Linked DNA regions of Danio rerio. The protein of the gene in region 1 purifies or fractionates together with the protein of each later gene. This does not show direct contact. Links are inferred from orthologs where the notes say so. Each region holds a gene or a part of one and is shown on either strand. Other genes may lie near its edges.

The links.
Region 2: the proteins of abce1 (region 1) and lto1 purify together in Homo sapiens (affinity purification with mass spectrometry; 4 studies listed by BioGRID and IntAct, with this or other methods). This does not show direct contact. The link is inferred for Danio rerio from reciprocal best matches to the Homo sapiens genes ABCE1 and LTO1.

Annotation. Positions count from the first base shown.
Region 1 is NC_133198.1:47,448,531-47,452,360, reverse strand, and holds part of abce1 (ATP-binding cassette sub-family E member 1), read left to right. Parts: intron 1-2,016; 5' UTR 2,017-2,082; coding exon 2,083-2,185; intron 2,186-2,282; coding exon 2,283-2,368; intron 2,369-3,830. UniProt on the Homo sapiens protein: Nucleoside-triphosphatase (NTPase) involved in ribosome recycling by mediating ribosome disassembly. Able to hydrolyze ATP, GTP, UTP and CTP. Splits ribosomes into free 60S subunits and tRNA- and mRNA-bound 40S subunits.
Region 2 is NC_133182.1:69,607,045-69,610,974, forward strand, and holds the start of lto1 (protein LTO1 homolog), read left to right. Parts: upstream 1-1,663; 5' UTR 1,664-1,711; coding exon 1,712-1,770; intron 1,771-1,923; coding exon 1,924-2,029; intron 2,030-3,930. UniProt on the Homo sapiens protein: The complex LTO1:YAE1 functions as a target specific adapter that probably recruits apo-ABCE1 to the cytosolic iron-sulfur protein assembly (CIA) complex machinery. May be required for biogenesis of the large ribosomal subunit and initiation of translation.

The DNA.
Region 1 (3,830 bases):
TCCATTTCAAATGTTATCAGACATTAATAAATGATTATTATTATTCTACATAAATTGTTAAATTTTTATTAAAATAACTCTAAAAAGTAGTATTTGATTTTTCTTTAAAGTATGATTTATTGAGTTTGAAGATGTATTTTTTGTTATAAACCTATTTTTTTATTAAAGAAAATTGTTGTTTGTAAATAGGACTGGGCGGTATGACTAAAATTTCACAGTATGAGAACGTTTTTTTATGCTAACTATAACTTTCACAATATAGGTTATATAAAGGTAATTTTGCCAGAAAATGTACAAAAGGGCTTTATATAATGAAATATTAATCTTATAAGAAAAGAAAAGATCTTTATTTTATTTGATTATTTTGTTTTTAAGCATATTACTATAGTGTACAAAATACAACTTAAATTTCAAAAACTAAGTTTTAGGCCCCTAAAAAGTCTTAAATTCGCCGCAGTTTTAGTTTGTAGGTCTTAAATCGTTTTAAATAGGACTTCATTTTGCTTTGTCTAAGTAAAGCTATACAGTTGGGCCAACAATCATACAGTCCCCAACAATACATCTCAATAAAATCTTATTTTTATATTTAAGTTTTTTTTTTATTGAGATACAATTCCTAACAGCTGTTACATATTTTAACAGCAAGTTTTTCAAATTAAATTCCCCAATCAGGAAAAAAAAAATTAAAACAATTACACTATTCCTCACGATAATGCTAGAAAAAGTCTCAACCCTGCATAAGCCTAAGGTGCTTTCACACCTGCCTTATTTAGTTTGATTGAATCGCACTAGAGTTTGTTTCCCCTTTTGGTGCGGTTCGTTTGGGCAGGTGTGAATGCAGCAATCGTACTCGAGTGCGCACCAAAAGTGGACCGAATAAGTGTACCGAGACCTGCTTGAAGAGGTGGTCTCGGTACGCTTTCAAACGAACCCTGGAGCGGTTTGTTTGTGGTGAGAATATGATCTGTACTAAAACAGGTCCAACCGCAAAAAGTACTTCGCGTTTTGGACTAATTCAGCTGCCGTAGGCCGATGCGCTGTGCATTATCGGATATGGAGGAAAAATATTTGTTGACAGCGCTTTACCAACAGAGAGAGAGAGAGAGAGAGAGAATAACATTATCTGATGGATCGTTGGTAATATTTCCGCAAGATGACCATGTTGCAGTTTAGCTAAATTAATTCACCCTTCCTCCTGAAGTGACGTGCGATGCATTAAAACATTTTTTTACAGCCGCGGCCGCGCTTCATTTTCGTAATGTATAGTTTGTCTAAAGCAATAATACAATCAGTCAGCGCAGTCGTCCCTCCAGAGTAAAAGCGACATTTTGTGTCTGCCAGTTTTGTTTACTTGCGGGAGTTCAAAGGCATTTTACCGCACATGAATTCTGACCAATCAATAAGCAGTTTAGGAAATATGTTCAACAACATCTGGCCAATAAGTGATGTGGATTTTGTCAGATGACCGCATTTTGGTTCGTTTCAACTGGTTCGGACCAAAGCCAGCAGTGTGGTGTGAAAACGACCCAAAGACGGCAGAAAATGCAACAATGTATCATTTAATACCCTTGGTCCGGACCAAATGAAGCGAACTACAGATGTGAAAGCACCCTAACATTTCATTCCTAATGGTCATAAAAAGTCATTAGGCTTGTAGATTTCCTGCAGAAACCCTGTAAAATAAATCCCAATTGAGTAACAGAAAAAGAAAGCTTAAGTATGAAAATATAAATATGTAAACACTTTAAGGAAATAACAAAATTTTCCTTCAAAAATACATCATAAAAACAATGACAATTCTAGTGTGTTGAAATATTAAAAGTAAGTCATTTGTTAAAATATAAAGCAATTGGCAATGCTCCACTCAAAAAAATAAGTTTACGGTACACATTTCACACATTACAATATATTCCACAATAGCGCCTAGTTAATTTGTACATTTGATGTGTTTTTGCCATGAATTATCCAGGTAAGCTGATAATGGAACTAAACACAAAACTCTCCTTCTCTCTGTAGTGAGGTCTAGACCTCATCTGTTCCTGTAGATCTGCGTCGCCAGTGCGCGAACATCAAACCAGGCAAATGGCGGACAAGAACACCAGAATCGCTATCGTCAACCACGACAAGTGCAAACCCAAGAAATGCCGTCAGGAGTGCAAGAAGAGCTGTCCTGTGGTGCGGATGGGTAAGAAACACACTGTGTTTTTAGCTGATCTTATTTTATTTGCTCGTGGTATTCTGTATCATTGATGTCTAATGTTTTTGTTTTGTTTTTTCCTCAGGTAAGCTGTGTATTGAAGTCTCACCTCAGAGTAAAATCGTTTGGATCTCAGAGTCTCTCTGCATCGGATGTGGAATCTGCATTAAGGTATTAAAGCAACAGGTTTAATGCATACAAAAATATATGGATGTTTCTGAGGTTTATATTCATTTATCATTAGTGAGCTTCAGCTTAGTGGATTATCTATACACATTTTAGTAGAATCCTGTTCAGATGCATCAGATATAATTAATTAGGCTTTTGAGAAGGATTAATTTCCAGAACCATTACTTTTGCTGTTCCTCAGCGTGATTGATCATCCAAAGCCTCTAAAGCATGAGTGCCCAGTGCTTGGAAATGGTGCTCGCTGCAGAGCCATTTGGGCGAGCTGAGCTCCAGCGAGGGGGAGCATGAGCTCTCGTTCTGCCTCCTGTAAGCTGTTTTAATGCGTACACCAACCCCACCCCTAACCCTACCCCCAGTGACATCACTTGTAGAAGAAGTGCAAAAAAGGTGGAGCTCAAGCTCAAGCTCCCCCTCGCTGGAGCTCAGCTCGCCCAAATGGCTCTGCAGCGAGCACCACTTGAGTGCTTGAGGGTCCTGCAAAATTTAGTACCAACTTCAATCCCACACACTTGGGCTAGATAATCAAGTTCTTACCAGGCTTTTTAGAAACATCCGTGCAGGTGTGTTGTGGCAAGTTGGAGCTAAAATCTGCATGACACCGGCCCTCCAGGATTGAGTTTGGGCACCCCTGCTCTGAAACATTTAAATATCAACATTTTTAACCTCTCAGTCATTTTAGTATTATATGCTTTGAAACTACAAATAATTGATCCAAAAAACTTTAAATATTTTAAATATTATACTTAGACATTATGTATGTATATAAAAATTGTTCTAAGGTCAATATTATTAGCCCATTTAAGCTTTATTTGTGTTGATTGTCTACAGAACAAACTACTGCTATTCAGTGACTTGCCTAATTACTCTAACTTTAACCTAGTTAAGCCTTTAATGTCACTTTAAGCTGATTACTAGTGTCTTGATGAATATCTAGTCTAATTTTATGTAGTCATCATGGCAAAGATAAAAGATATTAGCTACTACAATTTAGATTAGTATAACAAATGTTATAATCTCTCCATTAAGCAACACTTGGGAAATAATTTTTAAAAAGTTAAAAATTCACACGAGAACAAATAATTCTGACTTCAACTGTATATTGCGATAGCTAATTTATATGCATTTTATGCAAATAGTCTGCTGTGCTGTTATGAAGATCTCATTGATTTACATTGTAAGCTCTTGGAATTTGTTTGTTTTGAACATTAATGGTCTTACTGAGGCTGCAAGATATTGAAAAAAATCTGACATTGACTTCTGACATATTTTGTTTTTCTGCTATTATATATTTTGATGTGAATACAGTTTTACCACATGACTTGAAGAGCTTTATTTGGAAAAGAACTCTTCATTTTAGATTCATTAGGGTAATTTTGTAGGGGAGTGAATCTCGAATAATATATCAAATATATTATAGCAATATAAATTGCATTGTATATTATTC
Region 2 (3,930 bases), on another chromosome or scaffold:
AAATTGTTTTAGTAACTCATTTCTAATAATTGATTATCCTGCCATGATGACAGAAAATAATATTTTACTAGATATGTTTCAAGACTTCAATACAGCTTAACGTGACATTTAAAGGCTTAACTAGGTAAATTAGGTTAACTAGGCAGGTTAGGGTAATTAGGGAAGTCATTGTATAACGATGATTTGTTCTGTAGAATAATGAAAAAAATAGCTAAAAGGGGCTAATAATTTTGACATAAAAATGTTTTTTTTTATTATTAAACACTGTTTTTATTCTAGCTGAAATAAAACAAATAAGACTTTCTCCAGAAGAAAAAATATTATCAGACATACTGTGAAAATTTCCTTGCTCTGTTAAACATCATTTGGGAAATATTTGAAAAAGAAAAAACATTCAAAGGGGGGCTAATAATTCAACTGGATACTAAAGCGTATACATTAAATTTGCCATGGGTAATTTTCTAATTTATTTAATGTTTAATAAAAACTAGAAAATGTTACTTTAAATCAAATTAACTACTCTAGTTTAATTTTAAGATGTTATAATGAACTTATTACAGTAAAATCATAAACAATCCCATTTATAACATAATGGAGTTCAATACTGAATACACTGCTCAGAGCTGCTCCTGCCTTTACCTTTATTTACCTACCTCTATCTGTCGAGTGACAGTATTTACATTTTAGAAGTCTGATTTATTTAAAACATTTAATTGAATCATTTACTTTCCGTTGACTGTTTTTTTTTTTTTTTTTTTTTGTATCTCAGCAATAAAAAAATAAAATTAAAAAAAACAACCACCTTGTCATCGTTCTCCCTCACTTCTCAGATGGCATAAGGCTGATATGTGATAGTGTGCCAAATCAAAGGTTACCATGGGCCAACTTTGGGCATCTCTGGTCTAAACACTTCATCAAATGTTTATTGATCTAAATATGACTGACAAGTTCTTGTTATATGAACTACGGTTATACTGAAGGACATTTTATTAAATAAATACATTCTGTAAATAATGCCATATAAATTACAGTAATGTGTTTGGTCAGAAAACAAAAACAAAAAACAAGACATTATCATACTCCTCAATTCACTGTCGAAATTAGATATTAGGCTTACATTTAGGTGAAATATACTAATACATCTTATATTATTGATTGTTTTAGACATTTTAATGTATACTTATTGTAGTTATTGAGTTTTTAACGATATTATTATTATGGTCGAAGTAGTAATGTTTTATTAGTGTAGGACCGCATGTAAACGTGCTAGCATGCTAGCATATCTCCAAAATAAGCCTTCGTTTGAAAACACGAACAGTATATTCCATGAAAAGACAAAATAGCGATATATTCACAATAAAAATTGTGAGAATAAGTAAATGATAGCTTACCGTATTTGACACCTGAAAATACGTATTTGGTCTTCACTCTTCAGTGCAGATCTAAAAATGCAAACCGGTAAATCTTTAAATATTATTGTTACCGACTGACGTCTTTCTTTCAGTACAAACAACCGGATATCCAACTTATTTCAAGATCTGATCAGAAATACACACAGTTAGTGATGCAAACCTTTAGCTTTCCTTCCAGTAGACGGCGCGTTGGTTCAGTCCCATCGGTGTTAACATTCGGCTAGGACCGAAGAAGAACGATTCCGGAAGACCACCCGTAAACTCTTCTGATCAGGAAAGCAAGCTATTTTAATGTAAAAATGGCATTTGAGCCCAATAATGATGATTTGTTTGACTCCATCATCATGGCCGATGACAGGTAACGTTAACTAAAGTCACGCACAAACTGTTGCGTCACGAAGTTAGTGTTCATCAATGTAGTCCAGTGTGTAAGTGTGTGTTTAAGTTAGTTCAGTGTCCTTAGCTGTTATTAATTTACATTTAGGCTCATAAATATGCTTTTCTCTTTTAGGTTTCATGTTGAAGGTTATCAGGAGGGCTTTGACGAGGGAGTTCGACAGGGGACCATCGAGGGTAGAAATCACGGGCGGCTGCATGGAGCCAAACTCAGTGCAGAGGTGAAATACACATAATGTCAGATTCACTTGGTTTGGATTAAAGGAATATCACCATTTGTTTTCCTACATGGACGTAATCAATACATTCCTTTCGTGTATTTTAGTAGGTAAAGCTATTGCATTAAGTTCATTGTACTGAATAAGTTCTGAATAATGCTGTAGCCTTCTGGAAAAGCAGTGCCAGGGGGTTTGCTGTTGTGTTTTCACAATGACTTTGTGTGATTTACAATGAGACAACACAAGCATTGTCCAAGCATTGTACAATCTTAATTAATCAGTTCAACATATCTTGAAAAGCATTATTAGTAAAGGGACAGTTCACCCAAAATGGAACAAACAGAAGATACTTTGATGAAAGCTGAAAACATAACCATTGACCTCCATGGTATTCGTTTTTCGTACTATGGAAGTCAATGGTTAAAGGTGTTAGACCACAGTCTCCACGCCAGATAAATACGATCCAGTCCTGGATGCTTGATCTTGTCAGGAAATGTCAGTTTCTCCAGGTATTTGGACAACAAGTCAGCAGAGCAATACCCAAACTGTTAACCAATATTCAACTGAATTAACAGTCTACTATCAATATAGGAGGAAGCAAGAGAAGAGCAGATGCAGGAGACGAAGTGATGATAATAAAAAGCTGCATGTGTTTCAGTGCATGCTCATACTTCGTCTGACCAGGATAAGTCCAGTGTTATTATACCACAAGCAACAGCAATGGAAAATTACTTCACAACATTGTCCATAGACAATACAGACCTTGAAATGGAGACTTTCTCTCATCTCTTACTTATTGTCGGCTGCACATCCATGATGCGAATTTCCCCTTTAACCATATCACAAAGGTGCTCTATTGGATTGAGATCTGGTCACTGTGGAGGCTATTTTAGTACAGTGAACTCATTGTCATGTTCAAGAAACCAGTCTGAGATGATGGCACCCGCTGTGGTCTTCTGCTGCTGTAGCACATCTGCCTCAAGGTTTGATGTGTTGTGCATTCAGAGATGCTCTTCTGCATACCTCATTTGTAACGAGCGGTTATTTGAGTTACTGTTACCTTTCTATCTAGCCATTCTCCTCTGACCTCTGGCATCAACAAGGCATTGGCACCCACAGAAGTGCCTCACACTGGATTTTTTATTTATTTTTCTTTTCGGACCATTCTCAGTAATCCCTAGAGATGGTTGTGCGGGAAAATCTCAGTAGATCAGCAGTTTCTGAAATACTCAGTCAAGCCCATCTGGCACCAACAACCATGCCACATTCAAAGTCACTTAAATCCTTTTTCTTCCTCATTCTGATGCTCGGTTTGAACTGCAGCACATTGTCTTGACCATGTCTACATGCCTAAATGCATTGAGTCGCTGCCATGCGATGGACTGATTAGAAATTTGAATTAAGGAGCAGTTGAACAGGTGTACCTAATAAAGTGGCTGGAGATAGAGTGTGTGTGTGTGTGTGTGTGTGTGTGTGTGTGTGTGTGTGTGTGTGTGTGTGTGTGTGTGTGTGTGTGTGTGTGTGTGTGTGTGTGTGTGTGTGTGTATAAAATTAGGGAAGCACGGTATTGGAAAAATTACACATTGCAATTTTTGTTTTTATTCTGTGATTATATATTTCCATATGGCTACAATTTTACCACATAAGCTGAATAAATGTTTGCGATGTGTGTTATTTAGGGATGCTTCTGAAGGGGAGTTCATAGAATATAATAAACAATCTACAAGCATAGACAAATTAATTCATAAAAAAAATGTGCTAAGTAAATACATTTTAGCGTTTTATTGTAATCGAAATGTATATTATTCATTCATTTCCCTTTGGCTTAGTCTCTTTTTTTTAATCAGGGGTCACCACAGCAGACTGAATCGCCAATTTATCCTGCATAAGTTTTACGCAGCGGA